Arabidopsis thaliana: one gene and its partners. The protein of the gene in region 1 interacts with the protein of each later gene in a biochemical or structural test. Each region holds a gene or a part of one and is shown on either strand. Other genes may lie near its edges.

Region 1 (6,612 bases):
AAGTCCAATGAAACATTACACACTCCAGTGAGCATATACGACGGTGAATCACGATTTTAGCGAACGACTTGAAACAAAGTAGAAGAGAGAGAGAGAGTACCTGAAGAAGACTGGTGGCATAACTGATGTAGTTTCGGATAAGGCCTTTACTGGTGATACGGATCTCATTCTCGTTAATCGGAGACTCTGGTTTCGGTTTAGCGACTCTCTGGTATCTATCCATTTTACCAGAAGATGAAAAGATCGAAAACCCTAGGTTTTAGAGAGAGAACAGTGAACGACGCTCTGGAGAAGAAGAAAGGACAGAGATGAGATTTAAGGATAGAGAAACCCTTAGTAATAAACCCTAGAAGGAGAAGAAGGAATCGCGAGTTTCAAGATGAAGAAGAAAGAGCATCGGGAAAGGCCGATAGTAATACCAAGGGACACCAAAGAGCCTTGAGTTTTTAATTTTTACTATTGACTAGGCCCAAAACGGTCTTTCGTCAAACCGCTTCAAAACGGGTCAGATATTTTCGGATCCGGATCCGATTTTCGGGGAGGTTAGTATGTCTTTTACGTGCGTTAGTTGCACGTGGATAACACGAATGACCAGATATCCATCCATCAATAATAATCTCCGTTTTAACCGCCGCGGATCGTTGATAACAAGATTTTTTTTACTTTCTTCTTTTCAAAATTTCAAAACTTTTCCATCAGTTAAGGAGAAATTTAAAATGGAATGTTTTGGAGTAGTATTAAGTATTTAGTCCAACTGTATCTGGTTATTTCGATTAGTGTAAAGGTCCTAACTTTTGGGATTGTGAATGAGCCACTTTCATTTAGAAGACTAACACGGTAGTGGAATTTCTTGGTTGAAGCCGATACTCAAATAACAATGTCAACAATATTAAGGTCTTAACAAAGTAATGTTTACACAGAATTACAGAACAATCAGCTGACCATATTAAATCTTACTTAAATGAATTTCGAAAAAAAACAGTGGAAACTGCTGTGAAGTGAGCTGTTTAGTCATTAGCACTGACTCATGAGACCAGCAAAAAAATGTTGTCTTTGAGTGAAGAGAAGACCTGATTGTTGACTTTCAAAGACAACACATGACAATCAATCTGTTTGGTAAGCTCATGGCGTTTAGTAGTTATGTGAATATCCATCCCTGATTTTCACAGTACAGTGTGCAGTATCTTGTATGATGAAGCTTGCCTTGGCCGCCTAAGATGAGAGGCTCACATAGAAAGAGCCATTATCAGTTCTGAAATAATGCTTAATCGCAGGAATGTGTTTAACCCTTGACCGGTCCACACTCCCTTCTCCGCGAATGCGTTCTACTAACTGATTAGAAACATGAATCAAATGCAGTTCTTGAAGATTTATAAGATTCTCAATTCCTCTTGGTACGTACTCTAACCCTCTACAAGCCCTGACATAAAGCTTCTGAAGCTCAAACATTGCACCGTCTTCTATAACAACTTCTGTCAGATGTTTCATCTGAACTATCTCTAGAATCTTCAGATTCTGAAATCCTTGTGCAAAACGCAACCTAGGTCCCATGTATGCATTGTAAAATGAAAGCCATACCAATCTAGGAAGCGTTTGGATAGAGAGAATGGCGTTTTCCTGTAGCTGAGATCCACGCAAACCCAAATAGGTAAGGTTTTGAAGAGTGTTGAACCAACTTGGTACTCTCTCCAGTTTCCCAGCAAGAAAGAGCTTCTCAATGCTTGCAGTTGCGATCAGGTCATCTATCTCTAACGGTTCCTCTTCATCAATCGACGTTAAAGATAAGAATCGAATTCTTTTAATCTTATTCAGTGAATCGCACAAGTCTCTTCCATGTTCTCTCCTAACCATGACAAGACTTATTCTTGTGAGCTGAGTCATACACCCGAGATTTTTGATAAGCTCATCTTCTGCGTTGAAGCAGTCCATGACTTGCAAATCCTTCAACTGCCAGATTTTAGGAACAACCCTTGTACCTAAAACATAATTCCAATTGGAATCATGTCCTTCATTGCGGCGAAAAGTAATGAGATATCGCAACTTCTTCAATTTCCACATCCCTAGAGGAAGTTCCTCAATCTTGGAGTGCTTTGTGTTCAACGTCTCCAAATTGACGAGTTTATGGAAGTTTTTTGGCAGTTCTTTCACCTGTGTCTTGGACAAATTCAAGTACTTTAAGTTGAACATAGTTACTAAACAATCTGGTAACTTGCTGATGGAAGAGTCTTCAAGGTCTAAGGCTCTCAGAAGGTTCAGACTTGGAAGTAATTCCATCTTGTGTTTAGCAGAAGAGCAAACCAAAAGAGAGTGAAGGTTTGTTGCACGTATACTATCAGGTGTCATCTCTTTCTGAATGCATAAATGGCGACTACCGTAATTCTCCATTGTTTCTGCAGCATCATCACCATCACTGTCATCATTATATACATCACAGAACCTCTCAAGTTTGGATACAGATAGAGCAATCTCCCATATCACGTCATGCATCTTGAACGCCTTGGGTCGTCCAAAAGGATTCCACAAGATAACTTGAAGCATATTTCTGTAAACAAGTTCATTGAGGTAACTATCAGCCACTTCTTCTGCTTTCACTCCTCTGATCGGTTCCACAAACCTTTGTGCCATCCACATCCTAATGAGCCTCTTTCTTTTCATCCGATAGTTCACAGGGAAAAGAGAACAATATAAGAAACAACGTTTAAGCGGGTATGGCAAATCATTGAAGCTAAGGAACATAATGCTTCGAACAATCTTGAGTTCATGATTGTTGTTCAGTTCCCAGTTTAAAGTACTGTAGACTTTCTTCCATTCTGATTCAAACTTCTTGGTTGACATCATGCTTCCCAAAGAAGCAATAGCTAATGGCAAACCCTGACATCTCTCGACTAATTTTCGTGCTATCGGCTCCAAATTCTGCGTTCTGCATTGCTCAAGACTTGCCGGAAAAGCTTTGTTGGAGAAAAGCACCCAAGCTTCGTCTTCTTTTAAGAGCTCAATCTCGTGCTTTGTGCTCCCAATTCCATATGGGAAAGAAGCCACGTTCATGTCCCGAGTAGTCATCATAACACGACTTCCATAAATACCATCTGGTAAAGCAATACTTATCTCCCTCCATAGACCAGTGGTCCATACATCATCAAGCACAACAATGTACCTCTTCGACTGCAAATACTCCACAAGTTTTTCCACCAACTCTCTGTAGCCTAAGGAGTATAATTCAGCTGGAATCTGTGTATCTGCTTCTTTGTAAAACTCCTTGATCATGGTCCTAAACACATCTTCAATCACATAAGATTTCGAGATTGTAACCCAAGCGTAAGACTCAAAATGCCTCCGCACACTTTGAGACTTGAAGATATTCGCTGAGAGTGTAGTTTTCCCTGAACCGCCCATCCCAACCACCGCGACAACAATCCGCTGAGGTTCGGGACTTAGAAGCCGTCCGATGAGCTTTCCCTTGGGTGCATCAATCCCTACAAGACTATTTTCACTAAAGAAAAGAGATGACTCACTGATGTTGTTCACCCACTTTGCATCGCCATCATCAATAGGCGGTAATAATGCTGCTTGGTAGTTTTCTGAATGATAGTACCTTTTCATGGAATCAGAAATGGATTGAATCATGACATTAACCATTCCTAGCTTTTGAGCTATCGAGTGCCTCGCCCACATATACCTCGGGAAATGAAACGCACGCCAAATTTTGGCGCAGCTACGATAACCGTGGATGTGATAGCCAAACTCGTCGAGAATGTCTTCGATTTGGTAAGCCAAATCTCTCGTGTTTGCCACAAAAGTTTGGAAGAGTTGAGTTGTTGTTGTTGTGGATCCATTTCCACCATGTTTATGAGTATCCTCAAGAAAGGACTTCATGATCAGCAACTCCTTCTTCATTTTATCAATCTCACCATGGACTCCTGACAATAACAAGGTCTCGTTTTCCAGGACACTAAGAATCCGTCCGATCCCAAAATCAACAGTAGCCGAAGCCATCTTCCTCAGAGTCTCGCTTGAACCTTTTTTCCTTCACTGATTTAGTTTCTCTTGGTGAACTTGCTGAATTTGAGCAAAGCCAAGCTTTCGGTTCACACCTTACATGCCTGCCACATAACATTTTGATCAATTATCCTTAAGGACCTCAACAAAGTCAACGTCCTTTACTTGCGTTAAAGTCAACACGGGTTTAAACTGCTTTCACATTTGCAACTTGGAATTCAATTTGACGGATATGGTCGAGTTTGGAAGTTCCAAGAGAGAGACAGAGAAATCTGATGTACTGAACTCGGGTGTTGTTTTCGTCATTCGTTACCTGAAACTGAAAGGGTAAAAGATTATTACTTTCTTCTGAAGGGCGAAGAAGTACACTTACCTCAATGATTTTTGAATGTTCTTAAGATATTTGTTAAGCAAAGCAGAATTGGAATAGAAGAAACGTTAATTAAAGAAATCAAAATCGCTTCAGTATTACTACTAGTTCATGAAGCACATATATCAGAAAGTTTAACCGACCGACTCATAAACGCCAAATACAAAAAAAAAAAAAAAAAAAAACGTTGTGGTTTCCAATCACTCATTCTTCAGGCAAAAGTCCAGCCATTGGGATTTTAGCATCAATCTGGAATTCTTCGTCTTCTCCATCTTTGTTCTTCCTATAATCCACTTTGAAATCATAATCTCCGTCCATCAGATCCTCCTCATCAGCTCCTGCTTTCTTTGCTTTCTTCCTCTTCTTCTTCTCTGCTTTCTGTTTCTTTGTATTCAACATGCTTTCCGCTGCGTATAGCTTCACGTTCTGCCTCCCCGTCTCTGATTTCTCCTTCGTCTTTCCTGCCTCTTCCTCCTCCTCCCCTCCCATTGACTCATCATCATCACTCTCATGCTCAGCCTCCTCTTCCGTCTGCGTCTTAGACTCATCCTGTTTTTTTTTTTTGTGATACATCATCATAAACAAAGATTAAATCCAGACCGAGTCATTTACAAGCAAATGGAATCACGAGAGAAGTTACCAACCTCGATCATAGTTTCATCGAAATTGAGAGGACCATTTGAAGGAATAATAACAGGGTTGAATTCGTTAACCGTCTTCAAGCTCCCAATGAAAGAGGATTCACCACTGTAAACCTCATCGATGTTGAAATCCTTGGCCAGCTCAGTCACAATCTTTGACTCTGCATGTCCACCCTGGTCCCTCTTTGGCGGCATTGTATAGTATGGGATTTTACCTGCATAACCATTCATATTAGAGACAATGATGAGTTAAGAAACTGGTTTTCAAAAATGCTTTTACGCTTCAAGTTTACGAGGAACAAAAAAAGATCCGCACCTTCATTCCAGTCATGCAAAACAATTCTGGCAGCAGCATCAATATCCACAAGACCACCCTTTTTAAGTTTACCCCTTACAGTGGCGACTTTGTAAAGGAAATCATCAACTGCCTCGAAGCTCGGGATTTTGTAGAGAGTCACCAGCATATCTTTAGGACAAAGCTTGAGAATTTCCTTCACTATTTTTTTCACAAAGCAGAAGATTTCCAAGTTAGGTCACTCAGATTATAACCTTTAAAAGACAAAGCACAAAAATAAGTGTGATTCTATCTTGAGCTTATATCCAATTACCTGGACTAACTGGGTCATCCAACTTCTCGATTCTTTTACAATTTCGGAGAGCTATGGAAGCATCATTTCCTGATGATTTCAACATCACAACTCCAGGACAATCCAGCAACTTCACGTTTTTGTCCAAGTGAACCTCTTGCAGAGATCTAGTCAGTCCAGGAGTGGCACCAACATTGACAACATGCGCTCTCTTCAGACTGTTAATAAGACTACTCTTGCCGACATTAGGCAGTCCAATAATACCAACTGTGATAGATTTTTTTAACTGCCAAAGAACAACAAAGGAAGATTTAATTGAAACTGAATGATATAACTTGATGCTAAGGTAGGATGATTAAAGTTTAAACTATGGAACCAACCTCATGACTTCTTGAGTAGTTCTTCAACAATTTGATAAGAGTGTCTGCTCCAAGACAATCACTCGTCTGCAACATATTGCTTGGTTTTGATGCCTTAGATGATTTCCAACCCAAGTTTGATCTCTGTTCCTGGGTGCTACACTTGAAGGCAACAGCTGGAAATTCTTCCCTAAGGTACATAAGCCATTTCTCAGCAGCCTCTCGGGGAACAAGATCTGGAGAGAGTGAATCAGTTACAAAAATTAATTACACCACCCAGAGTAAACAAACAACTTATTACGTCCACGAGTAAAGACTGAATATATGAACTTACCAATCTTGTTCAGCAGCAACACAAGATGCTTATTGGGACCGGCTTGCATCACCATCCTCTCCATGTCAGTACAACGAGTGCCAAGAGGATCACGGGCATCAAGAACCTCCAAAATGACATCAGACAATTCAATGACTTTAACTAGCTCCTTGTAGAAAGCCCTCTCCGAGTTATCTGTGAAACAAAAGACATTAGTGCATGTAAAGGCAGAGAGAAAGCACATAAACGCGTGAAGAAGGTATCCAAAACAACTCACCTCGAACATTGACAACTTTAGGTAAGTCCTCTATGGTCTCTCCTTCTGTCTTGGTATCCTCATCATCAA
Region 2 (4,951 bases), on another chromosome or scaffold:
AACTTCGCTCTAGTCAAGTTTAAAAGTAGCAATTTTGCTGAGTTTAGCTAAAAACTTTGTTCTCCTTGATTCATGATACAACAACATAGTGTTATGTCCCATTATGATCATTGCATTTTAACACATATGACCATGCTGCCACAATTTTCATCATTGCATTTTAAGGTGTGTGGTTCTTCTTTTCTAGCCATTTTTCTATATGAAAACAAATTGTAATATCCGCTAGTTCGTTACCAGCGGTGCTCACATCTTAAGGTCCTGAAACAAAACAAACATTTCCTTCATTACTTATATGTAATGTTATTCACCTAATCAAATTTTAAAGAAGAAACTCTAAAACTTTGACAACATTGTTATATGTGGATTTCACAACGTAATATCTAAATAAAGAATCTTGATTGAATAACAACTGATTGTACATGACATTTTAAGTCACTAAAACTCTTTTAAAATCATAAACCAATAACACCCCCTAAGACCTTTTTTTATTTTATTATTGACAACATTCAATCATATCTGGATTTTAAACCAAGGATTGTGATACATCAACGATAATAGTAAGACAATTTATTAAGCTATAAATCTTGGTCAAAATTATGGTTTTTAGTTCACTGTTATTAATGTCAATTCAATTTTTTTTATCATATATATATATATATAAAATCTACATATATACGGGCAATTATCTATTATCTAAATCTATAATCATTATCTTTGAAGAACATTAGATTAAAAAATGACAATATAAAGAAAATACTTTATTAGGTATGAATCTACTAACATTTAATCAAAAAAATATTACAAAATCATCCATGAAATGTCTTTTTAGCTTGTTTCCATTACTTTCCAATTCAAGTTTTAAAATGTTAAGCCAAGCTACAAAATATCAAATAAATTATATTTTGTTCGAATCATTATATTTATATTTTGCTTAAAGTTAACTAGCTACTTTTATTCAGTTTTGTAAATGCTACTACTTAAGGAAAAACCATCCAGGAAACAAATATAGTGGTAAGAGAATTATAGCAATTATATCACGATGTACCTTAAAAATATTTTGATTGCACAATATACACTTTTAGCAATCAATAATTTGTTTAGGATCAAGTACTTACAAGATCTATAAGTCAAAGATATTTAATTTACGAAAAGAACAGGTCTAGCATAATATCGGATGACTCGGATTCCGGAATAATTTAAATGAATCTTATACTTGATTACCTCATAGTATTAACGAACGTTAATGTTGATTACGAGATTTGACTTTGTAGAAGTTATGGATAAAATTAAAAGAAATTAAAAGTCTTTAACCAATATATGAAAAACTAAAAGTTCAGGTCCTAAACTTGTAAGCGTTGAAAATTTGGAATTGACTTTGAATGTGGCTTTACCAAACCCAACGGTTGAATATTGTTTTAAATGTCTCTCTCACGCGCTACATTCTTCCTTCTATCTCAGCCGTTCGATTTGACTCTTACGAGATCTCTTTGACTTGAATAAAAAATAATCATTAATGTTAATTTTGTTCTTAAATGCAATACATTATGTATTATTCGTCCGATTGTTAACAATAATGAAAAAGTTTAGTAAAAAAAATCGTTAACAATACTAATATAGCTATACGAAATAAAAAATATTAATACAGAAAGTTGAAAATATATATCGCCAGTTTTTACCAATTTTGGTACTGGTTTTATGATTGAAATAATAACACTTATACCACCACTATGGTACGAATTACTAATCAAGTTGAAACAAATATCAACAAATTTATATAATAATAAAAAAAACTTATCAACAAATTCTAGGGTTTGATTTTCATGAAAATATTGTTAGAACGTGCACATAACACGCTAAACGTTGGATATTAATAAGGAGATGCGGAAGCTGAGGCATTGATACCGTGAAGTGAAGGACCCCCTAGGCCGCACATGCACTTTGTGTCTTGGGAATTGTATTGCTTACATAAATATTTCATCCGTTTCCTTACAACAAATTACGAGTTTTCCTAAAAGTTGTTTTCTGAAGCAAAGAAAATGATTTGTTTTAATATTGTTTTTACATAAAAGGTTGGGAAGAATTTGATCATCAAACCAAACAAATGAACAATCAATGAAAAACATATAAATCCATCAATTTCTATAATCAGCCCAGATTCTTTTGAGTTGAGGCCCATTAGGCCCATATTCATCATATACCCGTTCAAAACTCGTCATTTCATCGTCACCACCACCAGTACAACATCCGCTTTTTGATTCCAAACCAAACCCTAATTTCTCAGCTCGAAGTTTCCATTTCATTGCTTCTTCTTACCTCGATTTTTCCCGGGTATTAGAATTCGGTCAATTTACTGAATTATAGTGTTCTCACATGCCAACTGATTCTACTTCAAAATCGCTGCGAATTTCTGCGATCAGTTACGAAAATTTTGTCAATGGGTTCGGGTAATCATGTTGATATAGTCGATGTGAGCTCAGGCGAAGAGGATGTCGATACACGGGGAGACGTAGAATACACCGATTGGCTAAACGGTGTTATGGAACCCGTCGATGATACATCTGACAGTACCGATATAGTCGAGGTTCTTTCTGAGGTTAGAGGTGGTGTAAATTCTCAGTATCGGAAGCCAAACTCGTCGAATCAAGCTTTGGAAGATGATGACGACTGTGTGATTTTGGACTGTGATCCCGACAAGACGAGGGAGACTACTTCAGTTGACGACGACGATGATGATGATGTGCTTGTAGTGGGTCAAAAGGGTGAGGTATGTTTTCACTGAACCCTTCTCATTTCTAAGTTCTCTTTCGTTTTCTTCATTCGAATTGGTGTGAAAGGCAGAGTTTCTCATTTCAGATTATGTATGCGTTAGTGTTGTTTAGCTCTGAGGAACTGTTTTAGGAATGGATAGTTATTGAACTGTTTTGTGTTATTGTAAAGTAATCGTTGTAACATTGATGAACTTTTTTTCTTTGGTGATGGAACTGTTTTAGGAATGGATAGTTATTGAACTGTTTTGTGTTATTGTAATTTAATCGGTGTAACATTGATGAACTTTTTTTCTTTGGTGTGTTCCATCTTTATACAAGTGTTGTTCACTTAAGTTTTCCTAATATGAAAAAGCATTTTTTTTGTTTTGTAGATAGCATGTAGAGATTTCCCTCATCCGCGACATTCGTGTGCTAAGTATGCGTTCAACTCAACATCACATGAGAAGTACTGTGACATGGTAAGTATCTAAATATTCTCTAATTCTACACGGAGCGTTAATGGATTCTTTTCCTGGCTGATCCTTTTCATTTGGTTTCTCTTTCAAGTGTCATTGTTATGTGTGTGACATCCGTGCTCCGTGTCCATACTGGTGTATCGCTGTCTCCTCCATAGATCATTGTCATGCTAATGATAAAGAGAAGATATGGAAGAATCAACGTGAATACTTCAGGACAGGATACATGCCTACCGCACCATCTTCAAAACCTACTCCAAGTATTTTACGGGTACCCAAAAACACTTTGCTTCGGAAAAACCATGTTGAGATCCGGCCTTGTTCATCATCTACCCGTGTTGCTAATCCTTCAAGTGTCAAAGCCAGGCATAGAATCAGGCAACCGATTCCGCACAATCAAGGGTTGCAGAGTCAACCGGCACAGTCATTAAGCACTGTTCGCGACAGCGTGATCCAAAAGGATAGAAGTTCTTATAGGTTTAGCCTACGATCCCGAGTAGCCTCTTCTGCGGGAAATGGTATCAGCATCCGATTTAACAATGCTCAAGTTTCACAATCCAGTCACCATAGCTCTTCCACAGTGGCACCTACATTAAACCCGGAAACGTACACTCAACAACGCAATGTTCGTGATCATTGCACAGCGCTACCTGGTTCTCAGAGCAACGTGTTCACTCGACATGCAGACCAGAACATACGTGGTAGTGGAAATCGTCAGTTTCAGACAAATGTGGATCGGTTTGCTCCGTCCAAAGCTCCTCTTACTGCTGAAGATTCGCATACAGCTACGGTACAACAGCAACCAGGGATTAATGAAAACGTCTTGGAGACCAAACTATCGGAATTTGAGAAATGGCTAATGGAAAATCCTAACCCAACCGGCCCTGTTAGTCCGTTACCTGAACCGGGAAATCAAGACTATGCTAGTACGTTGTCATTTGATTTTGAAACATTTTTGAATGATTGAAAGATTCATAAGGGTAGTTTGTATCTCCGTCCCTAGGTTAACTCTCTTCACTGATTGTATTTTGTAGAGGGAGTGCTGTAGTTTATTACAATCTCGATTGTGTGTATCATTTAATTAGCTGCTACTAGTACATCATAAAATTAAGTCCTAAAAAGTACCTGTTTGCCAATTGACATAAATAATGTTTGTTGATTTGAGTTTTTTAAGGTCAAAAATCAAACATACCATCATTATCACTGCCTGTTTAAATGATTAGGGAGGGGAAAATATCCATGTAATGTAAAAGAAGACAATCAACAATCGAAAAGCGATAGATATAGAAAGAGGCACACACATATGGTCTTGATTAAATTTGATCAAACTTCTATTTTGCCTAATAGACAAATAGTCCAAATTTATCAAAACCGGAAAAACATTGTTATATTTTGGATCAAAATTACTTCTACCATCATTTAGTTAGCTTTTAATATTTTAGAAACAATTGAATTTTTGACCCAAAAAAAGAAACAATGGAAATAACTGATAAAGTCTTCTTAAAAGTATAGGAAATTTTGCCAAGTATATAGTATTAATTTTGGAAACAAACACGAAAATGGAATAGTTTTGAGAGTTGATACTTGTCATTTGTGGAATTATTACTATTACTTTTTAATGTAAAATATTTCGAAAATAAACTTTTAACAAAAGTAAAATCCGAAAATACTTAGTTTCCAAGTTTATAGAAATCAAGCCCAGCCCATTTGGGGTTTTTAATTTTTTTT
Region 3 (7,988 bases), on another chromosome or scaffold:
AAATTACCCTATTTCTATCTTTGATGTAGAGTCAGTCCCTCCACTTAATTGATAAATGATAATATTGTGTATCTTTTAATGAAGACTAGAATGGATCAAATATACTTATATATTTTCGAATTACACATATATATCTGCCACTTGCTATCTCTAAATGGAATTATGGAATGGTTCATGGCCATTCCCTTTGTCTAAGGTCTCATGTTAATCTTGTTCCTTTGGTTTTAAAAAGAATATCTTAGATGTGAATATTCCTCATTTGTTGGGAATAGATTTTATGGTTTTTTTTATGCCAACTACATCATATATTTTAGTTATTAGAAACAGATTAAACTTACTTAACGTGCATAAAAATTTATCGAACCAAGTAGAGCTATCTAGAAGCGTATTAAAATAAGTTTAAGTGGTTCTCTTCTGCTATTGCTAATTTACACACGGCATGGACAAAATCAAAGTTGCTTCCTTCGAAAGAAACAATCTCTTCACAATCTTTTTCGGCTTGAAGTTGCGTTAAAAGTACCAACATGATACTTTTCTATTGATTATATCTACTCGAAATGGTTATGACAAATTATATTTTATATGTTAATTTGTCTCTTCACTGTTTATCCGTTCGTCAAAACGGGTATAGAGTTAATGTAGGAAGATAATTCTTCAGAAGAAAAAAAAATTGAGTTCACACATTTGATGATACTACATTACAGGCTATTGGATCAATAACAGTAGACTCTTTCATTTACTTCTTTTTTCTTTATTGTAAATTACACATTCTTATACAGGAGAGGTGGCAGCAGCCAAAAGAGCAGCTGCAAAGAGTGGTTACTCTCCCTCGAGATTGGAGCCAAGGTCAGACTGCAACAAGATATCTCCAGACCACCAGGGCATCATCACCTTATGTAAATATCCGAACTTATTTTCGCAAGAGAGCAATGAACAGAAGCTATACACTAGAGCCTCTTCTTCTCTATAGCAAAAAGTGATACACAGTGCCTTATATCTACAGCGGGTGAAGCTTGGAATGTTGGGTGGTGTGTAAAACTTACGGATAAGGATATGTCCCCAATCATTAATCTATACCTAAGGTTGAAATGGAAGTGCTTAGTATATTTTACACAAACTATCATCACATCTGGAGAAGATTGTTCACGGTAACAGCAACAGAGTTTGTTCTCTGCAGGTCCTGCAAGAAATTGAAACATAACAGGTTCAAGTATCAAGTCACGTGAATCTTAAAACTGAACTATCCATAGCTTAAGGACCAGTCTAGTGAATATAGAGACCAGTTCAGGCAAATTGACCACATACATAAACTGATAAAATTCGGCTTCAGGTATGAATATATGCAAAAAATAGTTCCTTCCAGTCAATGCAGAAGACAATCTAAATGAGCCACCAACTCAACTCAACCATGTATGCACATCCCATCAAAGCTTACAGATAATCCAATATGCACTTAAAATTTACCTGGAAAATAATTTCATCGGGCACGTGTGGCATGACTTCCCTCACTGTCTCGGCCATAGCTAGTATATTTGTTAAGCTTTCATTTGTCGTGTTTGATACAGTTCTCAGATGCAGACCACCTGTCCTTCCACCATTACCAGGAGGTACAGTTGTAGAAGAAGTGGATGCTTGTGAAGGGTTCATCGGCCATAGACTCCAAGCAGCATCGTCAAGTGCAGTTTGAGCATAGCTTTCGCCAACAGATGCAAGATGCCTCATCATCATCTGAACCCGCCCAAGTCCAACTGTCCTGGAAGTGGTAGAAGGACCAGCGACATCAGAACCCTGACTTGACCATGTCTGCAGCCAACTTGGATCCAATCCTAAATTCCTATTTTGTGAAAGAAAGGGATGAGAACTTATACAATCCAGTAAAATAAATCCAAGAAATATGCACAAATAGTGGTCGTCAGAAACCAAATATAACTTGCTATTCAAAACATTTTAAAATAACGTTACTTTAAGGCAGTGCAAATTTAGTATCTCAGTACCAAGATCAAGGGAGTCGCAGGAAAAGAATCATGAAGTTCTAAATAAATTGTTACTTTGGTGTAGTTAATAAGAAAATCAAGAACGAAGAATGAACTGAACCTCGAAGTATCATTTTCGACAGAATCTGGCACCTCAGCAGGAAATAATCCAGTGGCTAGTGCATGTACAGGATTGTTTTGTCTTTCAAGCTGACGGGCTAACTGCTCATCACTTGAGACTTCCACTGTGCGAGGGTTCACCTCATTTTCAGTTCTACCAACGAAAAGAGGCTTACGACATGTAGGACAAGAATAAACCTCATTTAGACCTTGATCCAACCTGCAGGAATCAAAACATCATCAGGATCACCAGTGTGAGTCATAAAGACACGAGGCTGTCGATATTTAGCTAAGCGCACCAGGATCGCAGGCATCCAAGATGGAAAAGGTGGTTGCAGTGAAGCCTTTTAGCCTTAGCCATAGGTTCCTGCCAATTATAATTGTATTTTAAGAGTTTGAGATTGAAAGCTTATAAGAAAATGACTATAGCAGAAGCGTACCCGACATATAGCACATTCATCATCATATGCCCTTAACTCTTCAGAAGTTGCATCAGGGAGGGCTGCATGGAGAGCACCCAGAGCTATTCTTAGTTTAATGTATCCTTTTATTCGTTTCAAAATTGCACTTAGCAATGCCTGCCAAACCAAACAGAAAACCAGGTAAAAATACAACAATTCAATGCTGTGCCTAGTATCAAGTAACCGGGAGAGTGACACTGTTTTAAAGAAAGCCAATTAACAGACATACACGTATGTTGAGAAACAAAACTGCATCCACCAGATGAAAGGCAATGCCATGCAGCCACCAAATGTGCAAATAATGACCTAGTGCCATTACCAAAGTAGCCATGTCCAGGAAGAAACCAAGGTTACGGTTGAGGAGGCCTTTCCATTCCAACAGTGAGCCTATCCAAAGATAAGAGTTTAACTTGAGATTTGGAGTTCCAATAGACCAAAAATGTCCACAAGAATGCATTTTCGGGCTCTAATAGAAAAACAAAGCATAACACCAGAAAAGAAACGACCTGCTGTCATAGAATCAATAAACTTAGATCTTTGGCAGTCTGAGTTCTTAACTGCTAAGTGGTTAATCCACATATCTAGCAGCTGAAACCCATGAATTAACAGCGCCTGCAAAAAGTTCCGATGAGCTCTATATTTTGTTGACTATGGCTACGAAAGAAAGACAACGAGTAGGACGAAGAAGAAAACTGTTATCAATTAAGTACCTGCAAGGTCTCAAAAGCTATACTGCATGGCTCAAAAAGTAACAACAGATACACAGCGGAACCAATTGTATTGTATGTCATAAGGGAAAGTTTTATCCTGCAAGATTGGAGAAAAGTAAATCCTGTTACTCAGCATATCATCTAGACATGCGTGAAACTGGTTACTAAAACGTTACTACACAAAGAGATCAAACGAGTTTTCTAACTGGAATTCAGTCCACAAAACATAATGAACTCAGACACAAAACCTTCCTCGCTCTACGGCATCCACATTTTCACTCAGAAGTTTTTGGCTTTACTTTCGCCTTGACAATGCATAGATGAATTTCAGGACAACAACTCTCACAGTAAAGCATAAACATAAAAAGCAAGCTATGCACTCTCTCTATGTTGTTGAAGAACTTAAAGTTGTTCTTAACGGACTGGGGTAAATCTAGAGAACATCTACTCTGATCCTCTAAAATAAACCAGAAGTGTTTGAGAAGAAAATCAAGATAGAAAGTGCAGCAATTGAATATTTGAGACTATACCGCAAGGTTTAGGATTTACCAGAACATATCAACAGAGAGGACCAAGAATAGCACTGAATACACACGAAAGTATGTCCAAGGTGTAGAAGAAGGAGATGCATTCAATCGTTCAAGCCGGTCTCTAGCCAAAGCTTGAAACATCTACATAACATTACAAGGTACAGTTTAGGGTGTCGACAAAAGATAATTCAGAATTTGGTTTCTCGTAAATCAAGAACGCCCAGTGTTTCATACCTTTAAAGTACATAGAACAGTCAACCAAACTGTCCACAGTACACCCTGAAATATTGTTGGGGGAATCACCAGTGGTAGAAACGTACCCTAGGGACAGGAGGATTAGAAGCGGGAAATAAACTATTAACACCCACAATACATACATATGTCTGCAAATAACTCAAATCCAGAAAACACTACACATAGAAACAAAGTGCAAGAGGAAATGAAGGGAAAATGTGGCAGAATCAACTGTCTAAGTAAAGACCTCTGAGGCTTCAAAAACTATTTTTCTGTTTCCCATTACTCTGTCACTATAATAATATACCATTTGTTTACCTGACACAGTTATTTTAAATAATGAACACTACCAAGAATATCTCATACAAAACACAGAATGTAGGTTATTGTATGTCAGAGTCTAGTTTTCAATCAAAGTAAGAACAGCTACCTTGTATATGATATAATTGGCAAGTCGCTCCACCAACTTTTTGGTTTCAACATCATATAAATCTCCAAAAAATAGAGTCTGCAGAAGATGTTGAGAAGACATTAGAACCACAGACAATGGTCACAAGACATCTCCAGAAACAATTAACAAACAGTATGAAATTCCTGAGTTTTCTTTCATGCAAGACATTCAACTACCGGAAACGAGAGTTTGACTCTTATAAATTAAGAACATTTGCTTCTTATGCACATCACTACATTCGCAGGGGAAAACTAATAATAATGTTTTCGATCGTAACCAAAGTAAGAACTGTAAATTGGACTCTGTTTCCAACAGAAGAGAAATCAGTGGTGCAAGTCTGAAACTTTAAGAGCCTAAAAAAGATGTCCCAAGAACAAGTGAAACAATTAAGAATAAGAGTAACAAATAATGAGACACCTCTCTACCAGTGACTAATGTAGATTAGGAGGCAAACAAGCTCAGTCTAAGGATAGAAGGAATTTCATAAAGGTATTAATCGCTTAAAGTATGAATCTAGTGAAGTTTGGAAGTTCAATTTCATTGATTTGGAGGGAGCCTACGATGTCTACGAAAGCTAAATATTAGAAAAAACATTGCTTATATTGCATCCCAATAGTAAAAGGTTACTCTTACCTTGAGAGAAAGTACCAGAAGAATATACACATTGAGCACAAAATTTGTAAGCAGCGCAATAGTGAAATAAGAGCCCAGAAGCAGCTCAAGCGCATGCTCAGAGTCTCCTAAAGAAATGTTCTTGGCAATCAGCCCATCTGCTCGAAGTCTATCGAGAGACAACTCTGTCCAGACTTGAAGTCCAACAAAGCTGAGAGCTGTTGATGCTACGGAGACGGGCAAGTACTTTATCCCCATTAGGAACTATTACAGCCTTCCCACTTAAACTTAATCCCCAGAATCTCATTTAGTCATATTAGCATGACGCCATCTGCAAAGACATGATCTCTCATAAGTATTAAGACTCGGACGATACAAACAACTACAAAAATTGAACATTTCCATAAAAAGATGATTTTTTTTTCAGAATGTAAAGAAAATTGAGCTCCAAAGCAGAGGAAAATCCAAAACTTGGGTTCTTTTAGATTGAGTCGTATGCATACAGGTGAAATCAGATTTGTACAGAAGCCAAAAATGCTACATAGAGGTACCAAGTACAAAGACCCGATTCACAAGAAATAAAAAGATATGATCCAAAATTGAAACAATATAAATCAAAAATCGAAAATTGAAGAAAGGAGCTAGGAGGAAGATTTTACAAGGAATAAAATGCAGAGTTCTTAAGAAATGGATCGAATCATAGAAAAACCTGAATCCGCGAAGCTTGTCTGTCGGTTGGGGAAATTCTGTGAAAGCAGCGTGTCACCGTGCCTCTCTGTCTTTTTCTCCTCTCGATCGAGAGAGAATCGAAAAGTAGAAAGAGCAAAATTCGATATCTTCTTCCTTCCTGGAAAACAATAGAATACTTTTCTTATTAATTAGAAAATAAACTGATACGGTCAACACATGTTTTTTTTGTTGAGTTTATTTTCAACATATGTATGCCTACTGAAAAAATCTATATAACATCAAAAAATTTATTTAATTCATTTGTTATATATGGTTTTGGTGAAACCAAAAACTCTAGTTATAATATTTTCTAACCATTTTTAACAACAACAAAATGTTATATACATCTCAGTAAACATTTTTTTTCTTTAAGAGCAATAGTTTGATTTTGACACACCAACAAATTTGAATATGACCCCTTTAACCAAAAACACCTTTAACTCATTAAAGATTTCTTAAGTTGGTGACTAGTTTGAATTTTCCCATATAAAAACAAACAAAAGCTAAATTCATATGGATTTAACGCAAAAAGCCCATGTAAATTTTTAATATATTTGGGCCTTACAGGCCCAGTAATGGATCTTCAATTCTTCGACTTTTAATTTCCAGAATTCTCATGATCTTGGCGGATTTCGCTTTTAATTCCGTCAATCTCTCCGATCAAAATATCTCCAATTCAATAAACCCAAAAAAAAAAATCCGATCTACGGAGAAGAAGATGGGGATAATAAGGAGCAGCTTCTCTTTCATCATGGGAACAGTGTGCGGGATCTACATCGCTCAGACCTACAACGTCCCTAACATCAAAAAGCTCGGTCACTGCGCCGTTTCAATGGCCAAGCAAGTTGAGGAGAAATATCGCAAGCCCAAAAGCAGAGACGACGTTTGACAGATTCCACTTAGCAGCTTCTCCGGTGAATTCACCGTCTCTTGTACCTTTTTTAAAAATGAATTTTGCTACTTCTTAAGGTTTATGTGTAAATTCAGTGAAATTTGATGATCATATAGAACCAAATGATGATTCTTTATTCCGATTGCTGCAATTTTCAGCTGTTTTGATTGGTTTAAATATCATTCGACAACCAAATTAGGTAATCTTATTCTCATTCAAACTTAAGAAATGAAGACAACTGGGGAAAAAGGAACGAACTTTAAAAGGATAAAAAAAGTGTGAAATTGTCAAAGAAACTGATAAATAATGAAGGAAAAAACTCAAACGAGGACATCAATGGGAGGTCTGGATGCTGGTGGTGATGATGATGATGCAGCTACTTCATCTTCTGATCCAAACAATAACGCTTTGACTTCTGCTATGATTAGTTTAGTGAGCAACAATCCAGAGATCAATGCTGCAGTCATCAACATGTAAAACACTGCGTCCCAGCTTATGGCAGAGATGTAACCAGTGAGGACTGGTCCAATCGCAGCACCGACGGATCCTGTGCCGTCTATGATAGCTGAGACTGTAGCCAAAGCCCTTGCATTGCCTTTGAGAGATTTGTGGGTTCCGAGATCAGCTGAGACAGCTGTTGTGATGAGAGCAAATGGTCCAATGATGAAGACTCCTGATGTGAACATGAGGATGACATTGATGGTCAATGAGATGTGTCCAAAGACTCTGTAGAGGAAAAGAGCTGGGATGGCCAAGTACATGAATCCTGCTGCTGTGATGGCTCTGCCGTTGAGTTGATCAGATATGTATCCGGCTAAGACTCCACCAACAACGCCTCCAACATCGAAGATTGTCGACAAGTTTCCTGATGTCTCCTCTGACAGGTACTCTCCTCCGATCACTGCATCACATATAATTCAGACAATGCATATATAGTCAGGCTACAACACTAGAGGTAAAAGGAAGGAGAGATGATGAGAAACATTACTGTTGTGGCTGACGTAGAAAGGAAGCCAGTAGAGGAAAGTGTATGAGACCAACTTTGTGAAGAAGAGGCAGAAGGCGAAAGGAGCAACACCGGGGATTTTCCAAGCGGCCATGAACCCGACTGCCTTTCTATCGAATCCAGTACTCATTCTAGATTCCAATAAGCTCTCTGTAATGGTGTCACCGAGCCTCATGGTAGAGTCAATTTCAGTTCCATCTCTCTCTGCCTCAACGGTTGGAGGATTCACCGGCAAGAAAAGGTAAACAACGATCCCAAGAAAAGTCATGA

The links. Proteins that work in one complex are often made in the same cells at the same time.
Region 2: the proteins of RPM1 (region 1) and RIN13 form a complex in vitro, tested with the Arabidopsis thaliana proteins (one study listed by BioGRID).
Region 3: the proteins of RPM1 (region 1) and RIN2 form a complex in vitro, tested with the Arabidopsis thaliana proteins (one study listed by BioGRID).

What each region holds. Positions count from the first base shown.
Region 1 is NC_003074.8:2,225,032-2,231,643, forward strand, and holds RPM1 (NB-ARC domain-containing disease resistance protein), read right to left. Parts: upstream 4,525-6,612; 5' UTR 3,994-4,524; coding exon 1,213-3,993; 3' UTR 824-1,212; downstream 1-823. Other genes in the region: AT3G07030 (Alba DNA/RNA-binding protein), read right to left, coding at 101-223; NSN1 (GTP-binding family protein), read right to left, coding at 4,571-4,915, 5,011-5,222, 5,324-5,503, 5,616-5,880, 5,975-6,189, 6,288-6,461, 6,544-6,612.
Region 2 is NC_003071.7:8,760,567-8,765,517, reverse strand, and holds RIN13 (RPM1 interacting protein 13), read left to right. Parts: upstream 1-2,145; 5' UTR 2,146-2,434; coding exon 2,435-2,764; intron 2,765-3,139; coding exon 3,140-3,226; intron 3,227-3,314; coding exon 3,315-4,190; 3' UTR 4,191-4,338; downstream 4,339-4,951.
Region 3 is NC_003075.7:12,921,807-12,929,794, reverse strand, and holds RIN2 (RPM1 interacting protein 2), read right to left. Parts: upstream 6,114-7,988; 5' UTR 5,801-6,113; exon of another isoform or gene 5,423-5,800; 5' UTR 5,350-5,422; coding exon 5,113-5,349; intron 4,537-5,112; coding exon 4,459-4,536; intron 4,116-4,458; coding exon 4,029-4,115; intron 3,936-4,028; coding exon 3,814-3,935; intron 3,362-3,813; coding exon 3,265-3,361; intron 3,167-3,264; coding exon 3,061-3,166; intron 2,942-3,060; coding exon 2,784-2,941; intron 2,672-2,783; coding exon 2,534-2,671; intron 2,461-2,533; coding exon 2,393-2,460; intron 2,314-2,392; coding exon 2,095-2,313; intron 1,835-2,094; coding exon 1,465-1,834; intron 1,181-1,464; coding exon 1,124-1,180; 3' UTR 521-1,123; downstream 1-520. Other genes in the region: AT4G25225 (uncharacterized protein), read left to right, coding at 6,437-6,709; G3Pp2 (root hair specific 15), read right to left, coding at 7,033-7,613, 7,701-7,988. UniProt on the Arabidopsis thaliana protein: E3 ubiquitin protein ligase that acts as a positive regulator of RPM1- and RPS2-dependent hypersensitive response (HR), in association with RIN3. Probably not required for RPM1 degradation during HR.